Pelodiscus sinensis: one gene and its partner. The protein of the gene in region 1 binds, or shares a complex with, the protein of each later gene. Links are inferred from orthologs where the notes say so. Each region holds a gene or a part of one and is shown on either strand. Other genes may lie near its edges.

Evidence for each region.
Region 2: the proteins of DNAJB1 (region 1) and NUDC are in contact, whole or in part, in a crystal structure (PDB 7NDX), measured with the Homo sapiens proteins. The link is inferred for Pelodiscus sinensis from reciprocal best matches to the Homo sapiens genes DNAJB1 and NUDC. Residues at the interface, in NP_006136.1 of Homo sapiens: His166, Lys181, Lys182, Met183, Lys184, Ile185, Ser186, Asp201, Lys202, Ile203, Ile235, Phe237; in NP_006591.1 of Homo sapiens: Pro102, Gln103, Ile104, Lys105, Glu106, Leu107, Ala112, Leu115, Gln116, Ile119.

The regions. Positions count from the first base shown.
Region 1 is NC_134729.1:10,607,885-10,623,691, reverse strand, and holds DNAJB1 (dnaJ homolog subfamily B member 1), read left to right. Parts: upstream 1-8,321; 5' UTR 8,322-8,478; coding exon 8,479-8,689; intron 8,690-10,711; coding exon 10,712-11,280; intron 11,281-11,771; coding exon 11,772-12,002; 3' UTR 12,003-12,556; downstream 12,557-15,807. UniProt on the Homo sapiens protein: Interacts with HSP70 and can stimulate its ATPase activity. Stimulates the association between HSC70 and HIP. Negatively regulates heat shock-induced HSF1 transcriptional activity during the attenuation and recovery phase period of the heat shock response.
Region 2 is NC_134735.1:2,376,317-2,392,138, forward strand, and holds the start of NUDC (nuclear migration protein nudC), read left to right. Parts: upstream 1-7,448; 5' UTR 7,449-7,515; coding exon 7,516-7,608; intron 7,609-11,155; coding exon 11,156-11,233; intron 11,234-14,655; coding exon 14,656-14,859; intron 14,860-15,307; coding exon 15,308-15,394; intron 15,395-15,788; coding exon 15,789-15,822. Other genes in the region: NR0B2 (nuclear receptor subfamily 0 group B member 2), read right to left, coding at 2,867-3,147, 4,475-5,018. UniProt on the Homo sapiens protein: Plays a role in neurogenesis and neuronal migration. Necessary for correct formation of mitotic spindles and chromosome separation during mitosis. Necessary for cytokinesis and cell proliferation.

The DNA of each region.
Region 1 (15,807 bases):
GGAGGAGAGACTGCTTGGAATGACACGCTGAGGCTACGTCTACATTGGCCCCTTTTCCGGAAGGGGCATGTTAATTTCACGAGTCGCAATAGGGAAATGCGCGGGGGATTTAAATATCCCCCGCGGCATTTAAATAAAAATGTCCGCCGCTTTTTTCCGGCTTTTAGAAAAGCCGGAAAAGAGCGTCTACACTGGCCCCGATCCTCTGGAAAAAAAGCCCTTTTCCGGAGGATCTTATTCCTACTTCAAAGTAGGAATATGATCCTCCGGAAAAGGGCGCTTTTTCCAGAGGATCGGGGCCAGTGTAGACGCTCTTTTCCGGCTTTTCTAAAAGCCGGAAAAAAGCGGCGGACATTTTTATTTAAATGCCGCGGGGGATATTTAAATCCCCCGCGCATTTCCCTATTGCGACTCGTGAAATTAACATGCCCCTTCCGGAAAAGGGGCCAATGTAGACGTAGCCTGATAGTATTATGGTTTGCTGACAGTATTATGGTTTCCCTCCATGACCTCTAGTCTCTGTTTCAGTTTCACTTTCACTTTTAAAAATAACTTGGCTGCATCTAGACTGGCATGATTTTGCGGAAATACTTTTAACGGAAAAGTTTTTCCATTAAAAGTATTTCCGCAAAAGAGCATCTAGATTGGCACAGATGCTTTTGCGCAAAAAGTGCTTTTACCCAAAAGCATCCGTGCCCAGTATAGACGTGCCTTTGCGCAAGAAAGCTCCGATAGCCCGATGGCTAAAATGGCTTTCTTGCACAAAAAATGAAGGTGCCTGTCTACACTGGCCTTCTTGTGCAAGTATTATTGCGCAAGAGGGCTTATCCCTGAGCGGGAGCGTCAAACTATTTGCGCAAGAAGCACTGAATTCTTATATTAGAACGTCAGTGCTCTTGTGCAAATTCAAGCAGCCAGTATAGACAGCTAGCAAGTTTTTGCACAAAATCTTTCCAGTCTAGACGCAGCCCACCAGTTGAAACATGTTGCCGGCTGTGGGCGCTCTGCTGATCAGCTGGGCAGCATTTGAATCTCTCCTGGGTGGAGGGCCAAGTGCTCCGCTTACAGGGAACTCTGACCATAGGAGCAGTCAGAGCCTAGCAAACCTGAAAGGGAAGTGCAGAGACCTTTGTGTGTTACCTAAGTAATCTGCCCTGCTTGTTATTGCAGATCTTCCAATGAAAGGATTCCACAACGGGAGAAATAGCCTGAGGCAGCCTCTCTTCTGCAGGGGAGAGGATGTGGGGGGACAACAGTATCTCTGTTAGTGTAATCAACTAACTGCTGACATCCCTATTAACTGTATCAGAGGCAGCAAGTGGTGGGGGGCAGCCAGTGCCTGTGAGGCTTTAAGCAGGCTCCCCACAAGCGCTGGATTCATCTGCCTCCCCACCCCTGTGCTGCTGCCTTTGATAGAGAGGCAGTAGCATGGAGGGTGAGGAGGGCAGGCTGGAGCCAATACTCATGGGAAGACAGCTTTCAAGCAGGTTCCCTGCATGCGTTGGCTTTGCAGATCTACCTTTCCCCCCTTGCTGCCTCCTATAGAGGCAGTGGGGGTGGGGGAAGGCAGCTTAAAAGACAGTTCCCCCTCAGCACTAGCTCTGCTGTGCTGCCTGTTCCCCCCTCCCCCCGATGCTGTTGTCTCTAAAGCAGTGCAGGGGTGGGGGCCAGGGAGGCTGCCATGAAGCAGCCTCTGTCTGTGACAGTAGCCCCTGTCTGTGGGGTCCAAGCTCCCTGTGGACAGAATCTGCTCTGCATCCTATGTTTAATCAAGCTACTGCTGCTTCACCTTCCCTCTCCAGCTGCATTTTGCTCCCTTGGTCATGTTCTGCTCAAAGTGACTTGAAACAAGTGAAAGATTCCAAGCCCCAGCTGGGAGATGCAGCCAGTAGCTCTGCATTTACATTCGAGATGGTGAAAACTTCAGCTTTACTTGTGCATTGCAGAGAGAAGGGGGAAACCTATAGCCTTCTGCAAGGGTCACCCTGGAAAGGCAGGGTGTCTGGGTCTGCTGACAGAATTCGTGCAACCCAAAGATCCCCTTTGTGTCTTCTAGCTATCTGAGAAACGAGGTCAAAATTACCCAGCTCATCACGTCACTCACCTATTTGTTACCTCCCTGAACCCTTGCAGGTCTCTTTAGTTTTTATACCATGCCCATCATTATGGTCCATGATCTCTTTAAGTTAAGCTGCAGAGAGCAGCACTTTTTGTCCTCCCTTCTAGTGCTAAGGGTAGAACCCAGTCATCCTGACACGTGGGCCCTCCATGCTCTGTTCAGTAGACCCACCTCTCTCCTAGAGCCAGGTAGAGAACTCAGAACAGTCTTACCAGAGAGCTGATTTAAACAAACATAAGGAAATATTGCACTACTCAAGCAGTTAGCCTGGGAAACTCACTGCCAGGGGATGTCAGAGTATAACTGGGTTCAAAAAAGAAAGAGAATTTCCTGCTGCTAGGTCCATAAATGGCTACTAGCCCAGGTAGTCAGGTATGCAACTCCATGCTAGATCTGTCCCTAAATCTCAGAAGCTTCTAGAACTGGCCACTGTTAGGCTATGTCTACATTACCAGGTTATTTCAAAATAAGTTTTGAACTAATAACTCCTAAAACAACTATTTTAAAATAAGCTTATTCCTCTTCACAAGCAGGAGTTATTTTGAAATAACTGGCTTGGTAGTATGGACGCTTGCCTTATTTCAAAATAACTCCCCAGTGTAGACATGCCCTCAGATAGGAGACTGGACTAATTAAACTACAGGCAGTCCCCGATTTACGCGGATCCGACTTATGTTGGATCCGCACTTACGAACGGGGCTTTCTCGCCCCGGAGCTCACAGGCAGCGGTCAGCCATCTGGAGCTCCGGGGCGAGAAAAGCTGCTCCCGGTGCCCCTGGTCTGCTGGGGACCATCTCCAGCAAACCAGGGGCACCGGGAGCAAAGCGGTCCGGCGCCAGAACAAAGCCTCAGAGGCGAGGCAGCCCCCCCCCCCCCGCCGCTTTGCTCCCTGTGTCCCTGGTCTGCTGGGGGGTGGGCGCAGCTAGTGTGCCCCCCCAGCAGACCAGGCTTTTGTTGTGGACCATGGGGCAGAGCAGCTGGGGCACTGCCGGTTGGTCCCGCAGCGCCGCTCTGGGCACTACTGGACCAACCCGGCAGCACTCCAACTGCTCTGCCCCAGGCGTCCTGATTCAGCCGCTGCTGGTCAGTTTCAGCAGCTGCTGAATCAGGACTCCTGGGGCAGAGCAGCTGGGGTGCTGCTGGGTTGGTCCAGTAGCGCCGAGGAGCGGTGCTACTGGAGCAACCCAGCAGCACCCCAGCTGCTCTGCCCCAGACGTCCCCAAGTCAGCCGTTGCTGAAACTGACCAGCGCTGACTACAGGAAGCCCCGGGCTTCCTGGAATCAGCTGCTGATCAGTTTCAGCAGCAGCTGACTTGGGGTTCTTAAGTTGAATCTGTATGTAAGTCAGAACTGGCGGTCAGTTTCAGCAGCAGCTGAATCTGGACGCCAGTTCCGACTTACATACAGATTCAACTTAAGAACAAACCTACAGTCCCTATCTTGTACGTAACCCGGGGACTGCCTGTATTAATCTGATCCAATGTAGCTGTTCCTATGTAAGTCCTGATTTCCAGCCCTTCCTGCTCTAACCAGAATCAGGTATAGAACCCAACTGAGGAATGCTGATTTCTGGCTTCCATCCTCTAGTTCATTGCATCTCTGACCCCGGCACTGGTTTGACCACTACTGAAATATTGTGTCCAGTTCTAGTGCCCACAATTCAAAAGGATAAATTGGAGGGGTTCAGAGAAGAGGGATAGGAATGATCAAAGGATTAGAAAACCTGCCTTAAAGGATAGACTCAGGGAGCTCAATTTATTTAGCTTAACTAAGAGAAGGTTAAACGGTAACATGATTATGGGCAGTAAATACTGATATCGGAAACAAGTATTCAATAACAGGCTCTTCCATCCAGTAGAAACAGGTCTAACATTATCCTATAAGTTGAAGCTAGACATGAGGGCTGCATCTAGATTGGCCTGATTTTCCGGAAATGCTTTTAGCGGAAAAGTTTTCCGTTAAAAGCATTTTCGGAACAGAGCGTCTAGACTGGCACGGACGCTTTTCTGCAAAAGCACTTTTTACGGAAAAGCGTCCATGCCAATCTAGACACACTTTTCCGCAAAAAAGCCCCAATTGCCATTTTTGCGATCGGGGCTTTTTTGCGGAAAACAAATCTGAGCTGTCTACACTGGCCTTTTTGCGCAAAGGCTTTGCGCAAAAGGGACTTTTGCCTGAATGGGAGCAGAATAGTATTTCCGCAAGAAGCACTGATTTCTTACAGTAGGAAGTCAGTGCTTTTGCGGAAATTCAAGCGGCCAGTGTAGACAGCTGGCAAGTTTTTCCGGAAAAGCGGCTGATTTTCTGGAAAAACGGGCCAGTCTAGACACAGCCATTCAGCTGGAAGTTACTCACATTTTTAGCTCGTGGGTAATTAACCACTGGTTGCCATGGATTTTTATCACTGGCAACTTTTAAAACCAGACACAATGTTTTTCTCCAATGTCTGCTCTAGTTCAAAGAGGAATAAGCCCAGAGACGTTCTCTGGCCTGTATAATACTGGAGGTCAGCCTAAATGACTACAATGGTCCTTTATGGGCTTGGAATGGGTTAATCTCTTACAGCAAGCATCTGTACTGCCCCTTTCCCTCACCTGCTGTCCTGGTGATCAGTCAGTGCTTCCCTAGGCCAGGGCACATGTGAATGATTCACAGCGCACAATAACCAGACTGCTCATGCATGAGTTGCCCCTCTTTGGCCAGAGCTGTCAACCACCCTCTGGGGTCCTGCCGGGTTGTTCCTATGGGAGTGGAGAGTTGAGCCACATCTCCAGCATAGATTGGTGTCTGCAAAGCTGAGGAGCCCCACCTGGGGAAAGGACAATGAGGAAGGTTGTGTTGGAGGCCTCCAGGAGGAACTATGGGGTAGCTATCCCCCCATGATAAGATGCTACTTGGATGTGACTGATGTGTTTCAGCCCTTTACTAAGAGGCAGGTGTCCATTAACCGTCTTTGGATCCTTTTATTCCTACCCTCTTGGGCTGAAAAGCAGCTAATTATGGTACAGATGTGGCCTGCCCCACCTCCTCTTACAGGAGAGCATAACTCTGTGACCACACATTGTCCCTACAGATTTGCTTCTTAGCCTCCATCTGGACTCTGTGTATGCTTCGTAAACCTGACATCTTCTATTTAGCCCCGATGGTCTGTTTCCCTGTCTGCCACTCCTCCAACTCTTCCTGCCTTAGCTGCTGAGACCAACCCATCTCTTTCCTGGCAGGCTTTCTCCATCCTGGAAAGCTGGGGATGCAATCCCTGAGCATTATCTTCAGCAGCAGAACCTGTATTTCTACATGTTTTCTTCCAACCAGCAGCCTCTCCTTTTCCATTTTCCTGTGACAATTCACCTTCCCCGCTGTTAGGCAAATCATGTTCTACATCACAGGACCAATGATATGGTAGCCACTTAAATAGGAAAATAAGGGGCTCAAATGAATTGCTCTACACTTGGGGTGTTAAATTTTGATTAACTAATAGAATAGTCAATGGGATTTCCACCTTTGAAATGTACAAGAGTACCCAGTGGGGCTGATCCCAGGCTCCATGCAGCACTTTCCCTTTGAAATGCATAGGAGTCCCCACTGGGGACTCTTGTACATTTCAAAATAGGCAGCCCTGCTCCCTACCATGGATCTGGGAGGAAGCAGCTTTTAACCATGTGACCTTGGTTAGTTAAGTGTCTTGTGTGCCTGGATACCATGGAACAAACAGCAACCGGGAGGTGCTTTGCTCAGAAACACCCCCCCCCCATGTCTGCCCTTCCACCCAGCAAGATCTGTGTCCCTAGTTTGCACTGGTGTAACTCAGCTCAGATTCTTGGCCATGCTCTCTGATCCAAAGAGCTTGCATTCTCAAAAGCTTGTCAAAATCTGCCCGAACCAGAGGGGCAGCATCTTGCACTGCCCCTTTGTAATACTGACTTCCTTTGGCAAATGCTTTGATTTCTGCTGATGAGAAGCTCAGTAAGAGCAAAGAATTTCCAGTGTTACCATTAGTGAAGTGGGCTAACACCTATTTTACCCCACACGTCCAGCCAGTCAGACAGCATGCAACTAGGCAATGACAGATGGTCTGTATCAGAAGTTCACCGAGTGCTTGTCACACTACAGAAACCTCACCCTTACCACAATTGTACCCATTTTCCAGATATGCAAACTGAGGCAGAGATGGCGTGGTCTGCCCTAGGTCATACAATGAGTCATAGTCTTGGTTCCCAGTGCGCTGGTCTAATCACAAAGCATACTCCCCAAATCAGATAAAACCTATATGTCCTTGTTCCCACTCTTCTGTTCTAACCATTGGCCCATCATAATCCCACCCACTCAGCCTCATTTAGGAGAGATGCTTTGACTTTTTTTTTCCGTCTTTTTCTTTCTTTTTCTGCTTTTTACAGTGAAACCTTTGTTAACAGAGTGATGGATAACTAGAAAACTTTAACTGGCATTGCCCCCAGCCACAATACTGTCACACATTCAGGCACACAGGCCTGGTTTAGTTTACTGATTGCCTTAACAATTTTTTATTTAAGTACTAATCTTTAACTCAAAATAGAAATGTGAGACCAACTGCCTCACACTACAAAACTACCAATATTAAAAACTTGAGTTTTACTATTATTGTCCATTGGTTTTTCCTAGGTTGATGGGACCCTCAGACAACTGGAATTTTTAGATAACCGGAACGCGTTAATCCCCGAGCATGCTGGATAACACAGTTTTTACTGTATTTGAAGCTCTGTGCCTTTCTCCATTTTTTTGTCATCTGAAGAAGTGAGTTGTTTTGGTTAGTCTCTAAGGTGTTACAGGACCATTGTTGAGGTTTTTTAAGCTTTTATAGTGGAGAATGTTCCTTTTCTTTTCTAACAAGGGTGAAAAATGTCCTCTGATCCACTGTGACTCAAGAGCATCTCAGTGCTTTGTGCTTCTGGAGCATTGAGAACTATGATGACATAATTCAGATTTTTCCACAGCTAAAGTGGGAAGAAATGGTTTGAGTGTAGGGAGTAGAATAAATGTTTAGTTTTATGTAAATATGTATAAAGATAAATGTTTGATGACTTCATAATTTTTTTGCAATATATAATTCATACTTAGGCCCTTCCCTCCCACTAGCCTTAAGCCCCTCATTACCTTAATCCGGCCCTGCCTACATGCATTTCCCTGCCTCTCTTTCCTCATCGCTCTGCAGCACCCTTTGGGCTGGGTTCAGAGTCCTGTGTGCGGTACTCTATGGCCATTCTGACTTGCATAATATAAGCTCCAGCTTTCTGCAAGCTCGGGTACTCTGACCTTTGCCTTCCCCTTCCCAAACATCCTGTGCTATCTCCCCTCTGGGAGTCCTTTAATAAACTTGAACAAACAGAATCCAGGGCTGGATGTCCCTGGTGAGGAGGTGACAGGTTTGGAATCCGGATGAGTAGGGTTGCAAGCGTAAGCGTAAGTTATTGGTTACCCAAACAGTTACACACAGGTCTCAGGGACCCTCCTGCTGCCCTGCACTCTGGTGAAGGCAGCAGAGGGGGGCAACAGACAGGAGCCTGTACTCAGTTCCCAGCACACACCTGCACCTGGGAGCTGGCTGTGCCCGGCGTGTAACCGAACGTTTACCAAATGACACGTATTTTAACATCCCTAATGACCGGCGCCTTTGGAGGGGAAGGCGAGCCTGTGAGACCTGATGGGGTGGGTGCCACTAGCCGGGGGGGGGGGGGGGGGGGGGGTTGACCTTAGGTGAGGGATGCTGGTGGGGGCTGTGGGACATGGGATGAGGGATGCACTGGGCGGGGGCGTGGCTCCAGACTGCTCCTTTCCTTGCTAAAGGCCCACCCCGGGGCGTGGCTTTTGCCGGTGGGCGTGGTCAGTGCCTAGGATGCAAAAGAAAGCCGAGGCAGAATTGATGTTTAGGGTTTCAGCTCGGCCCCGCCCCCCCTGGGGGCGGGGCGAGAACGCTCGGAGAGTCGGCAACTGGTCCCACCAGGCTCGCGGCCTGAGAGAGTGGGGGGAGTCGGGACAGTGACCGGCAACGACCGTTGGTCTCACAGCGCGCGCTTCTGTCCCCTTCCCACCCCTCACTTGATGACGAGTGAGGGGCGTGGTCTCAGCGACGGTTAAGCTCTGGGGGGGGGGTAAGTGTGCGGTCACGTGACGCAGGCTCTGTCCCCACTGGCGGAGAGCGGCAGGCCCCGCGCTGTGATTGGGGGAGGCGGGCGGGAGGCGGGGTCCGGGCGGGGAAGGTTCTGGAGAGCTGTGGCGAGCTCTGGAAGGTTCCGCCACCCGTCATATAAATGGGGGGTGGCGGCGGGCGCCGCGCTGGAGTGACGGGAACCGCTGACGGGGTGTGAGACGCGCAGCTGGGAGCCATGGGCAAGGACTATTACCGGACGCTGGGCTTGTCCCGGGGCGCCTCGGACGACGACATTAAGCGGGCCTACCGCAAGCAGGCGCTGCGCTACCACCCCGACAAGAACAAGGACCCGAGCGCCGAGGAGCGCTTCAAGGAGATCGCCGAGGCCTACGACGTGCTCAGCGACCCCAAGAAGCGGGAGATCTTCGACAAGTTCGGCGAGGAAGGTGAGGGGCGGCGTGTGGGCGCGGGCCGCGGGGGGGTCCGGCAGAGCTTGGTGGGGGAGATGGGGCAGGGGGCGTGTGTCGCTCGCTGTGGATGGGGGGGCTGCGCAGCAGGAATTGGGGGGCTGCCCCCGTGGTGTGGCGAAGGGCGCTGACGTGATGGGGGGAGGGGGACGCCCTATACACTGGGGCTCTGGGGAAGAAGGCGGGGGGGGGGGCTGTCTTTCAGCGGTGCAGCGCTGGGGGGGGCTGGTAAGCAGGGGGATGGTGCGCTAAGGTTTGGGGTGCAGAGCCTCTGTGCGAGGAGGCCCTGTTCCGGGGAAGACCGCATACCCGTGGGAAGGACATTCTGATGCAGCTTAGTACCTGGTGATAGGTAGGAAGGAGGTGGTTAGAAATAGCTGAATGTCATGCTGCTGGGTATTCTGGAAGTACTTTCCATGAAGTGAGGGGTAGCACTAAGATTGGGGAAGAGGAACATATGTCCTAATGGGGCACTCCCAAACTTTGTGGAGAGGGAACTGTGTATCTCTTACACACAAGATGGAGTGGTTTTCTTTCTTGATGCAATCCAGGGAGTGACAGAGAAGCAAAGTATTTACTAGTGGCTAGTCTCTCTTTAATCCTTTGCTTCTGAAATTCATTCATTTTTGTCTGGAAAGGAGTGCATCTAGTTGGTTTTCAGGGAACAGTACTGAACCCTGAATGGGCATGTACAGTAAAGGGATTCAGCTTTCCCGTGTAGCCTGTAGATACTGTCAGTAGCATGGGATAGCGAAGTGGCTGTCAGAAAAATAAGACTCATAGTAACAGGGAGATGTGTACAGAGCTAATTGTGAAAGGAAGTAGAACTAGTCCTATTAGTGAATTTAGGAATTAGCCAGTTTCTTTTATCTCAGAGCGTCCTGTTGCATTAATAACATAGCCTGTTAAAACTATTAATAAAACACAAGTGTCAGACTCTTTTGAACAAAATACAGGACTATGTAGCACTTTAAAGACTAACAAGATGGTTTATTAGATAATGAGTTTTCGTGGCCCAGACCCACTTCCTCAGATCAAATAGTGGAAGGAAAATAGTCTCTTTGGGAGACTTATTGTGAAGTCCATGTGCAAAGCCTGCCTGACTTCCTCCAAATTAAGGCATTAAAAGTCTGCATCAAATCTCTAATTTAACATTAGTACAGATTTTTTTTTTTTTTAGGGTGTAGTCTCATCCATTTAGATTACTCAAACAAGGGAGCTAGATTTCTCTGTATTTAAACAGCTAGGTTGGCCAACTCAACTGTTAACATCTGATGCTGAAAGAGTATGATTTTTAATATTTTTTAAAAATAGTTGCTTTTTCCAGCTAATAGAATTGTAGATAATTTCCCTTAAATTATTTTCCAAAATTTGTGTTTTGAATTGCTTTTCAGTTGCTGACTTCCCATGTTTGTTTCTCTACATTGCCTTTCCTGTAAATACTTAATGATTTCCCCATATGAGCTGATAGGCCACTTTTCCAGAAGAGGCGGAGCTGACTACAGAATGGTTTTGCTTGTCACTAGAAGATTCTAATATACTGTATTTGTTTGCCTGTGTATGTTAAATTATGAAACTTGCTCCGTAACAGTGTTTTATTGAAGCAGGAAGAATATAGTTGTAGTCTCCAGGCACTCAGATTAAATTATTTTTGCTACAATGGCTCTATATAGATGAGCTAGGTTTAATGCCAATTAAAGGAATACAGTTGATTATAAATTATTATGTTAGGAAACTCAGTAATTGAGAGAGAAGAGCTCTTCAACTTGGCTCTAATTTCTTTTTTGACTAGGGAGGTCTGAATCTTGACACCATTTTAAGATGACAGCAGGCCTCTTTGGTGATGCACATCAAACCTAAAGTTCTAAATAATGACATTCCCAGGATCTAAGAATGAGGAGAGTCTTGAAATTAAGAAAGATATAGGAGACATTTGGTAAATCTTGAGTTTAATAAATTCTTATGAGTAATCACTGGATTATATTCATTCTGTTTTTTCAGGACTAAAGGGAGGTGGTCCCAGCAGTGGCGGAAGTTCCAATGGTACCTCATTCAGCTACACGTTTCATGGAGATCCTCATGCTATGTTTGCAGAGTTCTTTGGTGGCAGGAACCCATTTGATACCTTTTTTGTACAAAGGAATGGAGATGAAGACATGGATGTTGATGACCCTTTCTCCACATTTCAAATGGGGGGCTTTAGTAATATGGGTTTCCCTCGTTCCCGCTCGGGCCATGAAAGTATGCGCAAAAAACAAGACCCTCCTGTCATTCATGAACTGAGGGTTTCCTTGGAGGAAATATATACTGGTTGCACCAAGAAAATGAAAATATCTCACAAACGACTTAATACAGATGGGAAGACCACACGGAATGAGGACAAGATTCTGACCATTGAAGTCAAACGAGGGTGGAAAGAAGGAACAAAGATTACTTTTCCAAAAGAGGGGGACCAAACAGCAAACAACATTCCAGCTGACATTGTCTTTGTTTTAAAAGACAAGCCACACAATGTCTTTAAGAGAGATGGATCTGACATTATTTTCCCAGCTAAGATCAGCCTCCGTGAGGTAAGCAAAGGTTCCAGATTCAGTATGGGATTAGTGGGTGGATTGGGTTGGGTTTTGGCTAGTGGAAGTGACAAGTGTTGAGATCTATCTGCACCCTGTTTCGTATCTGGCTTTAATCCATAATAGGATACCTGCCTAACTCTTCTGTGGTCTGCCTAAAATAAGATGGTAGCTTCAGGATACTTCCTTGTGGAACAATCAAAGGGTATAAACCACCATTAGAGATGGCAGATCACTGGCAACTACTTTGAAAATGATGTGGGTCAGTTTGGATACTGAAAGTTCAATGTGGGTCAAGCAGTTGTACAAATATATAACATAGTTGTACAATTTCTGGTACTGTTACTCTGTGCCTGCATCAGTAACTCAGAAGAAACAAATTGGAATAAACAGGCCATTGCAATGAAACATTTTTCTATTTGGTTGTTTGGGAAATCTGCTAGAGATTGTATATGTTGACACTGTTCTAATTTCCCTGTTTTTATATTTAGGCCCTGTGTGGTTGCACAGTGAATGTGCCAACGCTGGATGGCAGGACCATCCCAATGGTATTTAAGGATGTCATTAAACCTGGGATAAAGCGGCGAATCCCTGGAGAGGGTCTCCCATATCCCAAGAATCCAGACCAGCGAGGGGACCTTTTTATAGAATTTGAAGTAAAATTTCCAGACAGAATTCCACAGGCCTCCAAAAGTGTCCTAGAGCAGATCCTGCCAATATAGCAAGGCTGCTTATGGAGAACTGAAACAAGGACACTTCCAAAGCAAAAGGTTACTGGACCATAACCAGGACTTCAGGGTTTCTCTTCAGTGGAGGGTGTGGACTTTGAAACTCTTCCCCAAGAGTACCATCTTGAAAATTGTGTATTCGCTTTTCAGTGACTTTAGTCCCAGATCATCACTTGAAGTATTTACATCAATGAGCAGCTGCTTGTGGGAGGAATCTGTATCTCCTGGTCAAACCTTTCTTCTGGTGACTAGTTTCCACCCAACTGCTCCATGTGCTGCCTTCACTTAACTGACTAACCATAGACTGAGCATCTGTTTCACCTCATCTCTCGTGCAGAGCTGTAGTTTCCCCATTGGAAAGGGTGAAACAAATCTAAAACTGGACTTGCAAGTAAAAGACTCTCCATCTTGCCTTGGTGTTGTACTATGCTGTGTCCCTTGTCGCTTCCTATACTGAAGGCTTTTCATACAGGGACACACTAAATGTTAACTGGTATTTTTAGTTCTGTAAGTTGTCATTGTCATGCTTAAAAGCTTTTTGTATCAGTTTTTTCTTTGTCAATTGTGTTGGAAGACAATTTGTGTTTCACCTTAATGTTTCCAGAGAGTCACAGCTTAGAGAAGTCCTAAATGTCTTTCAGAATGTAAGCCTTTAAATTTAAATTCCTCACACATTGGCTAACTACCAAAGTTAACAAGGTCTAGTCTAGGGGGAAAACATATTTTTTTTACATTTCAAGTGTAATGCGTTTTGAAGTTTTCCCTCTATGAAAGTCTTCTCTCCCCCGTCCCCCAGACATTTTAAGGTCTCTTAGTCTGGATCCTGGTCATGTGGTGAACAAATACAGGGCTGCCTTTTTTCATTTCAGGTACATAGTACCTAAGGAAGATGCTGAGTCTTACTAACCCTGCATGCAGGATGAATATCAAATTTCATGTTAAAGACTTATTCAGTACGCTAATGGACTCTGGATTCTTCCCCCCCCCCCCCCCCCCCCAAACCAGGACTGTGAACTGGTAGCACTACCCCCAAGTTATCCTTTTTTGATAAAAAGGGTTTTCTCCTGATACAGGAGCACTATGGCACTTCATGTGTATACTTTGTGTGTAATACAAACTATGGTAGCTGCTGTTTTACAGGATTGATTACACTGATAAAGAGGGTGTGATGACATGCTTACTCAAACCAATGGCAGAGCATGATCCTACACTGCCTGGGCCGTGATCTTGTAATGGGATGGCCAAGCTGATAGCTCTTTGACATTAATCTGTCACAATTAAAATCTACTCAAAGTCTAAGCATGTCAGGTAGGATTAGATGTCTGGAATAAAGGACTTACCTACACATGTCATTAAAAATTCAGAGAGATGGGAAAACACTGCTAGAATTTATTCTTGTTGAATACTGGCTGAGTGATTAACACTTTTTTAAAAATGTATTAGCACTTTTCATTGATGGACTGTGGTGTCTAACGGAATTAGTGGCACAGACAGTCACAGTTCAGAGGGTTGGAACATAGGTCTTTACCCTCAAGTGCTGAATGTTTTCTTTACCCTGCTTTCAGCATGATCCTTGCTGGAACAGCTGCACTAGTCCTGAAACACTGCTGTAAAACTGTGGTGCACAACTTTTACAATAAAGCTTAGAGCAAGCAGGGACCAGGAAGCTAGGGCTTCTCTACTCAGGCTATTCTAGCCCTCCTTTGTTTTGCGTCACAAAACATCTTTAAGGTGATGTTCTATACCTCTTTCTTATAGGAGAGCTTCCAGGCCACTCGCACTATACTGCTTTCATTTGTCTGAGTTGAGCCAAGCTAGCTCCCATCTCTTTCTCCCCCCAGCAGATGCCATTTCAAAGTGCATGCATAGCTGCGGTGGCTTTGCTCCATAACAAAGATACTGCCCTTCTAAAACTACTTACCTCATGTGAAAGCTTAAATAGGTAATGCTTATGAGTTCTGGTTGATTGGTGGGGGCTGGAGCAGCTCCCTGGCCACTGCAGGCAGGGGCTGCACTTGTGCAGAGCAGTCAGTGGCAGCCTTGGCACCCTGCAGACAGGCTGCTCCAGCATCCGCAATAGCCTCTGTTCAGGGGGTTGGGGAGCCTAGGCACAGGCTGGAGCAGGCCCTAGCCCAGCTCCTGCTCAGTTAAGTGACTAAATATTACATCAACCTAACATTTAGCTGATTAACTGGAATGTACAGTCCTAACTGTTACTGACCTTGCCTGTATGATGTAGGAGAACAGTTAAATCTACATCATAGCCTCAAGATATAAAATAAAGTGTGGAAGGGGAATTGGTTGTACTTCTGACATTTTACTAGAGCTAGTCTTATGTATAAATTTCTCTCCGATTCCTGTTTGCAATAGACAATATGCTGTGTCTCTTACCTAAAAAGTTCTCTATTCTTTCTTTTCCAGTGCTGTATCTCAGCTAGCAGTTTCTTCCTTGTTTTTGTCAAGAGCAGCTGCTTGTATTAATTTCTCTGTGGGTTTTACTTCCACTTTGCTTCCTTGCTCTGTAATCATGTCTTCTTCACTGGGTACTCAATGATACTACCTCATGCTAGTTCTGGTCCTCCTGTTTGGTTGTGAGCAGAGTAGTTGCTCATGTTTCCTTCTACCATGTGGTTACATCTACCGGATGTAGACTAGACTGACCTCTTGTGTCAGCAAGTTCCTTATATAGAAGTGACTGACATTACATTAATGGATGTCTCACAGAGCAGAAGCTCTGCAGGATAGATATCTACTGTGTGACATCCATTAATAAGTTTGAGAATTTGCTGTAGCACAGCAATTATTACCTCATATTTATGTGTATAGCTGGGAAATGAAAGCTTACTCCCGTCAGGGTAACAAATCGGGGAGAGACTGGGAAGTTAGGGGCAGCAGTTTTTAGATCTAGTTCACACCACACCAGGGCACAGTTTCTGTGTGAGACTGCTACATGAAATCTGATGTCCTTATCCCATGTTCCACGCTTCTATATAACTGTTAAGGATGTTCCTCAAGCTTAGTCAATCAAAACCCTGTATTGAGCCAGGTTTCTTGCGCCTACCTCCTTCTGTCTTCATGAGTGGAAACTTTACACAATGAAATTGTACAAATCCAACTCCTGTCAGACTCCACTTTTCTTATACAGGTAAATGTTTCGTGCTGTATATTCAAGGGGGATTCTGGTATAGGGTTGTTGGATGAAGGATCAGAAAGCAGATGTAATTTGCTGCTGTCTAGCTCACCCAAAGCATTTCATGATCATTCTGACCCTTGAAAATTCTGTTAAGGCGCACATGCAGCTACCAGGCCTGCATACCCATGAAACTACCTGAACCAGCACACGATGCACTCAGTATCATAAAGGGTATTGCAGTGGATTGCACCTGTATTATAATTAGTGGCTGTGATGTGGTCTTCAGGCCCCCAGCAACTTCCTAGCTCAGCCAGCGGATGATACAATTTGCTTGCTGCATAAAGGCCAATTGAGATAGGGTCCCACTAGGTTAGGCTCTGTGCAAACAGTAGATATCCTGCAGAGTTTCTGCTCTAAATAAAACAAAATCAGAGTGGATGGAGGAAGAAATACAATAAGCAAAGTGAACTATGTGAGACCAGCAAATACCAGTTCCATTAACAGTTTTTCTTTTGGATGGGTTTAGCCAGGAGCAGGTCAGCTGAATGGGAAAGGAAGCAAGAGTGGGGGCAGCAGAGAAGAGGTGTAGGTGTGAAGTAAAGCTAAGATGAAGAAACGGGGATGGAAAGTAATGTTGGAACTAGGGATGTATTATCCTGTTTAATC
Region 2 (15,822 bases), on another chromosome or scaffold:
AGGTCTCTTCCATCTCTATGGTTCTATGATTCTATGGGAAAAAAGACTAAAAGGAAATAAAAAGAAACCAAATGGATTATTTTAAAATGTTGTATTTAAGCTCATTTCATGATTTTGGGATCATGCCTTATGATTTTTGAAAGCTTGGGTGTGGCAGTATTATGTGCAATCTAGCTAGGCTGACAAGTTTTAAGTGTAGACCAGACCTGAGGGAGTCTACAGTGTTACAACTGCACCACTATATCATTTCTAGTGTAGACACCCTAAGTGAGTATTGGAGACTTTACACAACACCCTTAGACAAAGCCCTGGCCGAGTTGATTTAGTTGGAATTGGTCCTGCCTAGAGCAGGGGGCTGGACTTGATGACCTTCTGCGGTCTCTTCCAGTTCTATGGTTCTATGATTCTATGAACACCAGGGCTAAGATGAGTGCTAAGATGAGCTCATCTTTACACTAAGATGAGGGCTTTGACAGCTGTCCAGGAGAGATTCAGATGCTGCCCAGCTGATTAGCAGAGCACCCACAGCTGGAAGCATGTGTTTCTATTGGTGGTGCACATGCACACATGCTTTCATTCACATAACAAAATGTATTCCATGTGTGAATGGAAAAGATTAGCGGGAACACTGCACATCACTCCTGAATTTGGCCCAGTGCCTTCAGGATGGGATTGATGTATGACTGGTGACGAGAAGCACCGCAGAGGAATGTCGCAATTTTTCAGCCTGTAATTTTCCTGTTCGGTCTCCACCGCTATTAATCAGATACCTTTCCCCAACAATGTTTAAGTGCAACACTGATTTTGCTTTGCAGTTTAAGATAGAATGCATTCCTATGGGGATTTTCTGGGGACTGCGCCTCATCCCATTTGAATGTTTGGATTATGTGACCTGTGGCAGGTTTTTCTAAGTTTCAATAAAATGTAACACACACCAAAAAAAACCTTCCAAAACAGAACCAACATTTTCCAAAATGTAAAACATTTTATTTAAAAAAATAATTTACTGCATTTTATATACAGATCACAGACTAACATCCACTCACAAATACTTATGTCTGAACTCTGTGCAAAGGCTGTTTTCTTTATATAGATCAGCACCTACAATGGGAGCAGGAGCAACCATCAAGTAGTCTGGGAAGCAGATGCCCAGCTGAAGAATGGACTGTATAGCCACTGACATAGCTCCTCCTTTATGGCATGTACCACCTCGGAAATATCACTCACCATTACACAAATGGACTTAAGCTCATCAGTCCTACCTGTTCTTAATAGCACTAAAATGCAGCCTTATTTAGCCACTTTAACGAAGGGTAGTAGATTCTGCCACCCTAACAGCAGTGGTACAAACATAAAGAACACTAATCAGAATACTCCCATTTTCTTCTCCAGGCCTACTTAGTTTGAGTCAGGGAGGCAAAACGTGGGTTTCTGTGAACTCTTTTAGCTTTAATATTGTGCAGCCCTTGCCTGTCAGTGTTTGAAACAGGGATAGATGTGTAATGGCTACTTCCTTAAGACTCCAGGACACTTAATAACCTGGTCATGCAACACAGACATGCAGGTACTATGTAAAAGCCCGATTCCACAGCACTAGGTAGCATTGTATGAGTGATTCTGTTTAGGGTTGCCAGGTGTCCGGGTTTTTTTTGCTCAACCAAATGTTTCCTACCATGTTCGGTATTTTTTTTAAACTATCTGGCATCCTTAATTCCATTCAAGTCAAGTACTGGTCAGCGTGACTAAAGATTGCAGAACTAGGCCCCGATGTATGAATAGTCTGTGAGGGTGAAATCAATGGCAGAACTACCATAGACTTCAGTGGGGTTGGGATTTGACCCTGAATCACAAAATATGGAGCTCTAATCCAACACTTTGGCTACGTCTACACTGGCATGAATTTCCGAAAATGCTTTTAACGGAAAAGTTTTCCGTTAAAAGTTTTTGCGGAAAAGTGTCTAGATTGGCAGGACGCTTTTCCGGAAAAGCACTTTTTCCGGAAAAGCGTCCGTGGCCAATCTAGATGCGCTTTTCCACAAAAAAGCCCCGATCGTCATTTTCGCGATCGGGGCTTTTTTGCGGAAAACACTACTGTGCTGTCTACACTGGCCCTTTTCCGGAACTGTTTTCCGGAAAAAGACTTTTGCTCGAACAGGAGCAGCATAGTTTTTCCGGAAAAGCACTGATGATTTTACATTAGATCGTCAGTGCTTTTCCGGAAATTCAAGCGGCTGATTTTCCGGAATAACTTGCCAGTGTAGACACAGCCATCATTTATTGCAGGCCTGTTTTCAGAGGTGCTGAGCAACATCTAAAAGGCTGACTGAGTGCTGAGCCCATCTAAAAATCAGATTGTGAGTGTGTGTGTGTATGTAACAGAGTCTTTCTCTGGAAATTTTATCATGTAAAACTGGGAAACTCCATTCTGTACAAAGCCCTGGCTTCAATCTCCTCCTTTCTCAAAGAAGTGCTTCTCTGATCTGCATATTTCCTAGGGAAAATGTCAGCCCAGAGGTTTATTTTGCAAGGACTGTTTCAAGGACATTGGCCATGCTTTTTTTTCTACTTTACTGTGCAGTGAAATAGTAAAATCACACACACTTCAGAAATGATTTGGCTTTATGAGTTCAGTTTGTACAGGGGCTGAATAAATAAGAGCTATGTTCTAGAATGTGGCTTAGCTGCACTTTTCAACTGCTGAAGCTGTTGCCTGAGCCCAAGTGAAATACACACACAAAACCAGGTGTGTTTGAAAGTCCACAGTATCTTTCCCACCAAATCCCCACATCATATTAATGTTATTGTCCCTTGAAACTCAACTCAGTGCTCAGGAGGCGCATGTGAGGGTGGCCCTGAATGTGATCTCTCAAGAGGCTGTGTGTGACGAAAGAGTCAGTCGCCGGCTGGTTATTTCATACAGCATTTCTGTGATCACCTCAATAATGTCTGCATTGCCAATGATGGGTCGAAAGAAGAGGTCTGTGATAAGTGCAGGAGGAATGGATCTCAAGGTGGAGGCAATCAGCAAGATGCGGGCAAAGCGGCCCTGGTCTTCTGGGTGCAGGGGCACTAGGACTTCTCGGAGCGCTCGCTGTGCTTCCCGTTGGAGGCTCTCGATGTACAGAGAGGCTCTGAGACCTGGGACATCTATGGAAAGAGAAACAACAGGAAATACAAATGAAAATTAGCCTCTGCTTCCCAAGCTATGCCCCAGGCCCAGGCTCTTATCCTGCATGTGCCTCTGCTGAAGGCTTGTTCACCGCTATTGCTAGTGATTCACAATCAAATTTGATTTCTTTCTACTGCCTGCACACCGGCACAGGCAGATAAATAAACATGTTTCCTTACATTTCATAGTATATGAGGATCCCAAAGTACTAGCTATAGATATGCAGCATCTCTGAAACGTAGCCACGTCTGAGGTGGAGAGCAGCAGTTCATTATTAGTGTGTAACACATCAAGGGAGGAAAAATATTGACCAATACAGCTCGGGCAAAATGCAGCTCTAGAAAAACATGCTCTGAGATCCTCTTTTTGCTGAAGGGTATGCAAGACCGCAATTTTAAAATCTGATTAAAATAGTCCCTTCCATCACAATAAACTATATAGGACTTAGTTTATTTGCTTCAAAAAGAGGAAGAACTGAATCAACCCTGGTTAGGGTTTGAGAGACTGCGAAACTAATAAGCCACCCCTATCAGCACAGTTGACTCCAAGGTTTGTGAGTTAAAGCAAGTGACCAACTGGGGCAAGTCACTAACAGCCTGAATTCCAAAAGTCAATGGGAACTGGAGATGCTCAGCACAGCTGAAAATTAGCCCTGAAAATGCTCTGTGCCTCAGTTGGCCTGTCTTTAAAATAGGGATACTACATCCAGCTTAGTAATAGAGATGTAGCCGTGTTAGTCTGGTCTAGCTGAAACAAAAGACAGGACCATGCAGCACTTTAAAGACTAACAAGATGGTTTATTAGGTGATGAGCTTTCATGGGCCAGACCCACTTTCTCAGATCAAATTGTGGAAGAAAATTGGCATGACCATATATACCAAAGGGATACAATCAAAAAAAGCGAACACATATAGAAAGGACAAATCACATTTCAGAACAGAAGGGGGATGAGGGCGGGAGGTTAATGTCTGTGAGCTAATGATATTAGAGGGGATAATTGGGGAAGCTATCTTCGTAATGGGTAAGATAATTAGCATCTTTGTTGAGGCCCAGTCGTAAAGTGTCAAATTTAAGCAACGACTGTTGCTACGCTTCAAAGGCAGAGGCACCCTATCGACTAATTGAACAGTTGATGCAAAAATGCATTGACTGTTCAATTAGTCAATTACCCGATATTTAATATCCTTAGCTTGTAAGAGCTTTGAGCTCCCTGGATGGATGGACAGCTATTCATTGCTAGATACTCTTGTGTGACGTGCCATCTGTCCCTGCCAACAGAAAGGGGTGTGAGGGTTCGGCACTCACCAGGGTTAAAGAGAATGGCTCCTTTCAGATAGGCATACTCCTTAGGGCTCAGGTCCAGGCCCCAGAATGTGTTCAGGCAGCACTGTAGCCTCTTCACGCCAGCTAAGGTGGGCTGTGCCCTCTCAGGCTCCTGTCTCTTCCTTTGGCCATCGAGAAGGATCCTCTTGAGCATGCTCGGGGCTGGGGTTTCCATCACCTCAAAGGTCACCATCTCCTGAACCAGCCCCAGAATAAAGAGTGGAGCCCAGCAGCTGTCCAGAAGCAGCAGCTGGTCCCCCCGAGGCAGCAGCTGGAAGGAGGGAAGGTTCTTCATGAAGCTGACTGTTTTCACAAGGACATCTGAGGCTGCCTGGCAGGTGAGCTGAGGTGTCCGGAGGCTGACGGTGCGACGCTTCTGGCACAGGCAGCGCTGCTGGGATGGGCTGTGGCTGCCCCAGTTGTGGTTCAGGTTCTGGCTCAAGAGGGCGTAGAGGATGGCATTTTGGTTCTCCTCACTGTGGCACTGGCATTTCTCATAGTCCAGATCCATGCTGCATGTAGTCATTGCTGAGCCTGGCCAGTGGATCCCGTCAGGTCCCAAGGAGGATGAGACTCTTGTGCACCTGGCTGGGTGGATCTGTGAGCACGCCTGGTCCCTTGCAAAGGCTGCTGTATCAGTCAAAGCTCTCTGACTGCAGCCTGCTGCTCCCAGGTCGGTCACCTCTCTTATACCTTTGGCTGTTATTCCTGGCTCTATTTATAAGACTCTAAGTGAAACACCCCCTTAGCAGCCTTGACCTCTCTTTAACTAAGCACCGTTCATTGAAAAACAACTCAACTCAGTACTGATTGGCTGGGGAAGTGGAGCTTCCACTGGTGCAGATAAAGGTTTTCTCAATGAAAGTGCCAGTTAGGGCCAGGAGGATGGGATGGGATGGCAGATTGAGTGGCTTTCTTATCTGGATTACCCAACAGTATAAACAAAGTCATTAACCCAGCCCGTACCATGGCACCAAGGCCCCAGGTGTGTAATCATGCAATGCTATATGACAGGTGTCATTGCCAAAGAGTTCACACACACACACAGACCTTGTCTGGAGCAAGAGACCAGTAGCAAAACAGCCTGTAAACTCTGGCCTTGGAAAGAGCAACCTGGAAGTCATTTTATCAGCAGGTTGTTTGTTTAACCTTGTTGACAACAGGCTGCTGTTGTTGCAGATAAAGAAAAAAAAAACCTAATGAACTACAAAGGGCAGCAGATGGAGGCTGGGGCCTCAAGTATCTTGTGTGTTTTAGGGAGGGGGGAAACACGGACGTATGGGGCCTTTTTACTTTTTGCCTTGTTTCCTAGGAGATTTCATCAGTTTTATAGACAGGTTAGATGCATCATACTGTTCATACATGGATGTTTATGTCTTCATGCTTCAAGGAGTGTCGTGACTCAGAGGAACTTCTAGGGCAGGAAGAAGTCACTTAGTTGAAACCCCTACCCCTCCAGGATCATGGAGCCTGATTCTAAAGAACAGGCAGGAAGGAAGAGCCAGGCTGTCTGGAAGGCAAGTTAATGAGTGGGAGGAAAGCAGGTGGCAAGAGGGCTGTGTCTAGACTGGCCAGTTTTTCCGGAAAATCAGCCGCTTTTCTGGAAAAACTTGCCAGCCGTCTACACTGGCCGCTTGAATTTCTGCAACAGCACTGACTTCCTACTGTAAGAAATCAGTGCTTCTTGCGGAAATACTATGCGACTCCCGTTCAGGCAAAAGTCCTTTTGCGCAAAAGTATTGCGCAAAAGGGCCAGTATAGACAGCTCAGATTTGTTTTCCACAAAAAAGCCCCGATCATGAAAATGGCGATCGGGGCTTTTTTGCGGAAAAATGCGTCTAGATTGGCACGGACGCTTTTCTGCAAAAAGTGCTTTTGCGGAAAAGCATCCATGCCAATCTAGATGCTCTTTTCTGAAAATGCTTTTAACTGAAAACTTTTCCGTTAAAAACATTTCCGGAAAATCATGCCAGTCTAGACGTAGCCTACATGTTTAGAAAGAAGCAGAAAACATCAACGAACCCAGTGTAGCGCCAAGTGGAACTTTCAGTCACTAGAAGTTCCCAGTGGAGATCACCCAACTATGGAAAGTCTTAGGAAAATACTAGCTTCCAGATCCCTTCTCCCAGTAGTTAACAGTGTAATTTTAGTAATGTGAATAGGTTCATCTAAATAGGTTACTGGTCTCTCTGCATGATATTGACCAGGGAGGGTTACTAACAGCAGCAGCATGGAAAGGGTTAAGAATCATTGCCTTAAATGACTATGGTGAGCGCATTTGACCCTTGAGGTGGGTGCCTCCGCTGGGGCCCGTGTGCTGCCGCTGGTGTTTTCCACAGTGATTCTGGAGGACAGGATGTTCCCTCCTGCCCGCCGCAGGCAGGCTCTGCCCCAGCCATCTGGGTGCCCATAAGCGGCAGAGAGCCAGCTTCCCCGGTGTGGTTGGGATGCCCGGGGTTGCACGCGGGCGGCGCCGAGGGCGACTGAGAAGCCCTGGTGCCACGCCTGGCCACCCTGCCCAAGAGGCCTGGCAGGACGCCTGGTGCCCCTCCCCCCACAGCCTTCCCTTGGCAGAGGCCCCCCCCAAGAATATGGGCTCCCACGAGGGTCCCCCCCTTTTGATCACTGAGGCACGTGGTTCCTGCCCTTTGACCCCTCCGAGGCATCGCGCCCTTTGACCCCAATATAGGCCTCCCCCCCCCCAACCCGTCCTAGGGCTCCCACCCCACGTGGATATGCCCCATAACACCTGACCTTTGACTCCCTACCCACTCGGGGCCACGCGGCCTCGCCGATTTTTCTGGAAGGCCCCGGACGCGGCCGGTCACCATAGAAACCAACGCCACGCGCGGAACCCGGCGTGGAACTCCCGCCTCCTTTCCGATGACAGGACGCGGCTCCAGCCAATCAGCGAGCGGGGAGGGGGCCGTGGGGCGCGAGGATTGGCTGGCGGGCGGTGGCTGGGTTTCCGGTTCCGGTGTGAGGGTCTGAGGCCGCGGGAGCAGCGGTGGCGGCGGGCAAGGATGGGGCCGAGTGCGGAGGCGGCGGAGCAGGAGGAGCGTTTCGACGGGATGCTCCTGGCCATGGCCCAGCAGCACCAGGGCGGCGTGCGGGAGGTAACGCCCGGCCGCCCCCCCCGCTCTGTGGCGGGCCTGCGTGGGGGGGGGGCTGTTAACGCCCGCTCCCGGCCGCCCCCCCCCCGCTCTGTGCCGGGCCTGCGTGGGGGGGGGGCTGGTGGCGGCCGCTCCCGGCCGCCCCCCCCCCGCTCTGTGGCGGGCCTGCGTGGGGGGGGGCTGGTAACGCCCGCTCCCGGCCGTCCCCCCCCTTGCTCTGTGCCGGGCCTGCGTGGGCCTGGGGGGGCTCTGAGACACCGCCAGCGCCTGGGCGCGTGCTCTGGGGCGGGCTGCAGCAAACTGCCCCCCCCCCCCCGCTCCCTGACCAAGGGAAGCAGCTGGCAACGTCCCGCACGTGAGGATGTAAAACCCCATGTAATTGGCTAACGTTGTGTTTAAACGGTTAACCGGCAGTGGGGGTGGGGGCGCTCCAGCTCCTCTGCCGCCAACAGGGGCTGCTCTGGCCAGGCCTGGGTGCCCCTGTGGCATGTCCAGGGTGGGCTCTCTGTCGCTGGGCTGCTCCTGCTGGGTAGGAGCACTCCCCACCCGTGCTGGGCTCCTTGGGACGGAGCAGCCCCTGCCTGTAGTGGGCAAGGAACAGCTCCGGCCCCCACTAATGAATTGATTAACCATTCTCATTCCCTTGTCCCGTATGAGTTGGGGGACGTGGTTCACCCCTTCCTCCCATCCTCTCTAAAGGATGCCTGAGGGGTGGGAGGCTCAGTGTTGTGGCAATCCTGGACAGGGCAAATGCCCCCAGCCAGCCTCTTTCACTTTTCTGGTGATTTGTCTCTTTTCTGTATGTTTTTATGAGATGCTACCCCATTCCAGGCCCATCCCATTTTCCTGGCACAACCAAACTTTTACTGTGCTTTAAGTTATGATATGAGGAAGCCGTATACCAAATTTGGTAGTCCTAGCTCTTACCGTTTAGGAGGAGTTCTGAGACAGACACATACTCTCAATATATAGTTGATTGATATGGTGCTGTTAACCTACATGAACCCTTATAGACAGTCAAGATGAACAAATCCACACTGGTGTTACTTTTTATATTACATCCCCTTTTTGTTGAAATTGTAATATAAAAATGTAATATAAATGTAATATAAAAAATACTGAGTATCCGTATTAGAGAGACAAGTTGGGTGAGGTAATCTCTTCTTGGACAAACTTCTTTTAGTGAGAGAGAAGCAGCTTTGGAGCCATACTCTTTTACAAGTCCAGGAATGATTCTAAGAGTCCACTAAAAGCTATCAGCACACCTGCTTTGTCTCTGTAATGCTCTAATGACTATCCCAGCTACAACTGCATTACATATATTAGTACCTATATGCAGGGCTTGACAATTAACATAATCTACTCGCCACAGCACGGCCGCACAGCACGGTCAGCACATGGTCTGCATGTGCAGCGCACAGCTGGTGAGCGAGGCTCGCCGCCACTTGGCAAGCCCGTCCTATATGGCTGATTTATGTTTGTCACTCATGTCATTGAGTCCTATCCTTGATATGCTGTACCCATAAGAATGACCACCCTGAGTCAGGATACTAGGCTAAAGGAACCGTAGCTCCATCTTCTAACAGTGACTGGTGCCAGGTACTTCAAAGGGAGTGATTAGAACAAGGCAACTTACCAAGTGATCCATCTCCTGTCATCCAATCTCAGCTTCTAGCATTGCAACCATGATGCAAGCAAAATTGTTTAAACACTAGCAGTTTCTTGGCCACTATAGATAGATTTTGTTACTGGCACTCGTCTCAAAGTGTTGCAAGGACTTACGTTATGTTTCAAATGACCTAGGAAAATAAATAGGATGGTTGGGTTACTGTGGCTTTCTGGATCAAGTACCTGCCTACATCAGTCAGGGAAACAGTAGTAACAACATGCAACTGACGAAGTGGGTCTTTGCCCATGAAAGCTTGTGCCCAAATCAAATTTGTTAGTCTTTAAGGTGTCCTAGGACTCCTAAGAGATACTATGTATCAGAAGAGTTACTGGGTTAGTCCGTAACAGCAGCACTGACATAGCACAGCTTCCAGCTAGGATGTAAACTATGTTTAAAAAAAATTAACTGTGTAATCGATAGAAAGTCCATCGGTTATAGTTACAATTAAACGGGCTCCCCAGGCTGCTGGCACCACAAGCTCCAGGCTGCCTGCTGCCCACTCCTGCTCCCTAGCAGAGTTTAAATGGTAACATGAACCAATAAGCATGAGCTTATCGGTTAATTGTTTAAACTCTTACCTAGCTCCAGCTGAGGTGCGGGCAGCGATTTAGTCTCAGTGCGTACTAGTTGCTTTTCCTCTCCCACCTCCCAGGAATTTTCAACTAGAAATAGATATGTTTCAGCATGGCAATCTAGTCTGCTTCTCCATCAAATGTTTGATTGAAGCAATTCCCTTTTGCTTCCCATGCTTCTGGACCATTTGCAAAATGCTATTCTTTAGCTGTGCCATAATTAGAGCAGCTACTTGTCTCTGCTTCTGTTGAGTCCTAGTGAAAATTAATCTTAAAATAGACCAAAGCAGTCCAACACCACATTTATCTTTTCCTTGGATATTGAGAGCATTGCTTGGTTGATGGCCTGAAAGTGAGGATACTTAAGAGTTCTCTCATCCAGCAGATTGAACAATTTTTTAAATAAAAAATGTGATACTGAGATACTAAGTTTAGGAACAGGTGATAAGGGATTGTAACAACTCAGATCTCCAGACTTTACTTGCAGCTGTGCAAAAGCCTGGCTTTACTAAACCAGTGTGGTAGATACTAAGTCCCTAGTTTGCATTGTTGGCCATTGTGAATTACAGAATTTTACAGATAAACCAAGAAAACCGAAGTCTAGGATACTGAATTACAGGTGCTTTACTTCTTATTTTAGTATTATTATAATATAGTCAACTTATAATTCTTCATATTTAAGTGTGTTGTGATCTAATTTTTTTTTATAAAAGAGACTTGATAACATAAGGTCTCCTACAGCTACTACAGTGTTGCTCAGAGCTGAGGAATGACTTAGTACATGCAAGAAAAATACTGGGTTATCATATAAGCAAAAGACCTAAGATTATGAGAGATGAACATTTAAAAAAATATCCTCACATAGGCATTTTAAAGTTTTAATTCTAGAAACCCACACTGTAGCTATAGTAGTCATAATGCTTTCAAGGGAAGGGGACACCAAAAAGAATTTCAGTCTTGTATAATCTCATGAGAATCTCTTGAAGGTAGAGAACTCAGAAGGCATAGCTTTGCACAATGCACTAATTGTTATTTATCTGAGAAATAGGTACAGGGGTTTGATTCCAAGCTTTAACAGGTCTTCAGGTAGACTTGGCTAGGGATTTCAGTACATAACATCAAACATTTCTCCTTACTGAGGTGAGAAGTACGGATGGGAACTAGCATCTCTTGTTGATCAGGTGGCAGTTTAGTATTCTGGCCGGCCAAAAATAAAGTTATTTTGCGTTTTTTTTCTTCCTTGGCTTTTTTGAGTAGGTTGAAACTTTATTTTGGGTCTCCTGAAACTACCTTGTCTTTTGTCTTTCAGCTTGTGAACACGTTCTTCAGTTTCCTCAGACGCAAAACTGACTTCTTCGTCGGCGGAGAAGAGGGAGTAGCAGAGAAGGTAACTCCCCTCCCCTCCTCCAAATCTTCATGACTGATTTCGTCCATCCCCAGAGCAAGTTATTCTCTGTCTGGGAACACTCAGTGGACCACAGAAATGAGTTCTTCAGATTTTCCAGTTATTGCTTTGCCTCTGTGCTTTCCTATTGCCATCTGATTATTTTTTACTGCTCTGTGGGCCTGACTTTGTGATGCTGCTGAAATATACTAAGGAAACAAGGTCATAATAAACTGCCCCATCCACAACTGAGCAGTGGTAACAGGCTTTTTGGGCTATGCTCTGGCCAAAGGCTTGTTTGGAAAGCATGCCTGCCAGACGCACTGATTTGACTGGGTCAGACACCGCAGGTTTAATAACCCCAGGTTACCTTGTTTATTCATTTCAGAGAAAACACAAAGTCCATCTCACATAACTGCCACTTTGTCTCTGAGCTGAAGGCTATGAGACTGGTGGTTACTGTGTGGGTGTGAGAGAACTGGACCCTTCAGGTTCCTGGCATGCCTGACCCTACTGCCACATACTGCATTTCATATTTAATCTCAGAACAGATCTCAGCACTCCAATATGAAGTATTCAGAACTTTCGGAAAGCCTTCTGTAGTTAGCTATGCAGTAGCAGTTCCAAACTTCTTCTGGGTGTGGCTTGTATATTAGCAGCATCTCATGGAAACATTCATTTCCATACAGATCACTTCCTCTCCTACTGGCTATTGGATAACTTCTGTGGCAACTATAGGAATTTTTGTATGAAATAAATAAATATTGGGACATTATGAAATATATTTACAGGTGCTGTAATTCAGTTTAGCAAGTGGAGGCAAGGAACGACCAGAAGATTGTGATCAACAAATTCTCTGCATGCCACCGCCAAGTGCTTTATCAACCACTGCTGGCCTGCAGGCCACAGGGTTTGAGAAGCACTGCCATATGGCTTTGTCAATGCTGCATAATGTATGCACGCTGCCCACTGTCATGGTCAGAGTTGAGACCTAAAAGCTGGGACTCCTGGCTTCTGTGCTGTACTGTCAAAAGTTACTTAGCAAGTCAAATCACTTAGCAGTTTCCCTCAGTTTCCCCATCCGTAAGAAGTTAAGGTTTCATTCTCTGGTAAAGTGTTTTGTGATCCTCAGAAAGATGCTGCATGCAAAACATGACTTCTCTGCCTTTTGCAACACAGTGCCCCAACAAAGGTTTGAAGAACCCCTATTTCACGCTCTCATTCTCCCTTTACCCCTTGTAACTCTTAATGTTTCCTTTGGGACTGAAATGTCTTGTGTATAGTCTCAGCAGCAAGGTGAAGCTTTAGTGGTAGGGTAAGGGGAATTATGCAGCTGTGGAGGGTGACAATACACACCTCCTCCCTCTTTTTAAGAACTTTTTTGTGCTTGACTAACTTGGAGTGCTTGTTTTTATATAGTCATACTATGGAGCAAGTCTTTGATAATCACTGTACAGTCAGTAAATTATACTACATGCAAATATAGATTTTTGTGCTTCTGTTCATGGCTACTCAAATGCTGAACCAACTTTCAAAAGAAACTTGAAACTGAGCCAGTTCCACAAATGGTTGTATAACACTCTGCCATGTGCTGCCAGCTATGTGTGAGGTCCTGATCTCAGTCTCTGACCCTCCCGTGATGTGGGTTAGGCATACTGCAGACAAATACAGGTTGAACCTCTCTAGTCTGGCACCCTCGGGACCTGCAGTGCTGAACCAGAGATTTTGCCGAACCGCGAGTCAGTAGTGTCTTGCAAGATTTCCAATGCTTCCACTGATCGCTGGGCTCTTAGAAGACATTTAGGGGTATATTAGAGCTGAATAACAGCACAGAACACTGAGAGCCAGGACTGGTGGCTATAAACAAACTTTATGGCACTGCGGGAAACTTGGCCACATCCATGTTAAGTGGACATCCAGCTAACTGAAATCATGCCGGACCCTGGATGATGCCAGTCTAGAGAGGTTCAACCTGTAATATGCTTCTCCAACCTCCATTAAATATCATAGCAGGGGGAGTTCTGAACTCCTGGTATATACATAAAGAGACAGGCTACTGGGCTAGATGGACCTTTGGTCTGACCCAGTACAGCTATTCTTATGGTCTAAGATTTACTAATGATTGTATCCTTCTTCCCCGGACTGCAGTCAGTTCCATAATTAACTGAGGTCGAGATTCTGTGAGCTGCTTTGGGCCCAGTTCACCTTGATAAGTGCCAGCACATTCTTGGATCTTCCTCTTGTTAAATTCATACCCTTTGATCTAAGGAATTTCTTCCTCCCCTCCTTTTAACTTCTGTCTATGATGATTACCAGGGTTGCTCCCACCTGCCCCGCATGACATTCTCCTTAGATGCTCTTTCCTTTCAAAAGAGCTAGTGTGTCTCCTATAGCAGAACTGTGTGTTCACTACGTGCTGCCTTGCACAGTACCTTGGGCATTATCAATGGCTGGGTTATTGCTCTGGCTTCCTGCCTATGTACTCAACTCTCCCGCCAAGCAGTGCAGCCATTTACATCAGATTCCATATTCTTGGTGCACCTGAGTCACTGCAAGATGATGGACCTGAGAGCCCTTTGGGGCAGTGTTATATGATAGCTTGTTCCTACCCAATAGAATTAGGTTTTCACATCTCTCTTACAGACTATAGCTTTAAGGTAAAAATTGATGCTTCTAGAGCTTTTTGTTGTTTCTTTTTGCTGTTCCTCTTCTGCCAACAGTGCAGTTCCTTTACAAAAAGCTGTGTGAATGCTAGTTCTTCACCCTAACGAGCTTCCTATTTAAATATGAAATTGGATAGTTGCCCATCTAGTATATGGGCATGCTTCAGATGGGAAAGGCCTTCTGCACTGTACTTGGAAAGCATCTGGATCCAATTATAACACCTACTCTTAACACCTATTACTTCTATCACCACTTTTGTGGGGTAGATCTCAACACATTGACAAACATTAGTTATCAGAGCTTACCAGCCCGCTGAGTTTTAGGACAGTATTTTTCTTCTTTTACAGATGAGTAAGGCAGAGTCTACGTGAATAGTACAAAGTGAGACCACAAATCTGTGGCACAGAGCTGCGTATAGAAATTAGGGTCCATTATACTGTCACCTGTGCAAAGTAGCTGTTAAACTCTGCCAGGTCGCAGGAACCAATTTTACACTTTGTAAGGTTCAGGCCACTGGAGACTCAGGCTCACAAGAGTCCTTTTCACCTATCAGCAGGTATTCTGAACTTTCCCCATTATCCTTCTCAAATAGTGCGGTGAAAAGAGAGGGAAATACCCCTAGATCAGGGCTGCCGAGGAACTTGTCTGTGCTCTGCAGTCGATTTATGAAGGAGATGGAGTCTCCTTTCAGTTGCTGCCACTCAGGTTCAGGAATATGGTGAATTCTTAAAACTCCTTTATCATTGGACTCCTTCCTTTAGTTGATCACAGAGACATTCAACCACCACAACAAGTTGGCTCAGAAAGAGCGGAAGGAGAAAAAGGCCCGGCAAGAGGCAGAACAGCGTGAAAAGGCAGAGCGAGCTGCCAGACTCACTAAAGAAAAGAAGCAGGAAGATAATGAGCCGAGGATCAAGGAGCTTACGGAGGAAGAGGCAGAAAGGTTACAACAGGAAATCGACCAGGTAAGAGCTCAGTATGGGGAGCATGGGGGTGTGCACCATCTACCGTTTAAATGGAGACTGGAGCTAGAGCTGTTGGCTGGTATGCAACCCAATCAGGAGTGACTGGTATAATGCAGCTAGAAGGTTCATGCTCTTATTGCAACTGAGCATTCTGGTGCAGTTTGACTTACTGTCTGTGCGATTACACTGGGAAAGGGAGCAGAGGAGGGCAGAGGCCATTCCAGTCTGCCTTTCAGAAAGTGGGGCTTTCCTGTTACAGGGTGCAGTAGGGCTGACAATCCCCTCCCGTCCCCAAGTTTCCTGTAGTTGTGAGTTATGCACAGTCCTGTAACTTCTAACTCTAAAGAAGGAAATGGGGTCACCTAGTGCTGTATCGGTAGGTTTCACTTGTCAGTTTCTCAGACATCAGATAATTATTCTGGGGGGGGGGGGTCTTTTTTTTTAACAGAAAAAAGAACAAAAACAAGATGAGCCCAAAGAAGTCTCCATGAAACCCTCTGAGAATCCAACAGAATCTCCAGAGTCTAGCAAACAGGTAATATATTCCTAGAGACTTCCTCAGTTCTGGGGAGGTGAAGCAGTCCAGCACTGACATGGCCTCTCAGTGTGTGGGAGGAGTGAAAAGGGTGAAGTGTCCCCTGTCTTTGAGTGGGCACTGGAGATCTACAGTGCTTCTGCCATCTGTACCCCCTGCCCAATTGGAGCGTGCAACTGATTCTCAAGGATGGTCTCTCTTTTTTTTTAAAATCTGATGCTTTGAAAGGAAATATCTGCCTTCTAATTCTCTACTGGATCTGCATGGCGTGCCTTGGCCATTGAACATATCATTAACTGGAATGTCCCATATGAGTTTAAAGAGCCATCCTTACTAGTGAAATGTATATGCGGGCTTGAAAATCTCTTTACTGATGCTTCAGTTGTCTGTTTAGGAGACGGATGACGAGGAAGAAGATGAGAAGGATA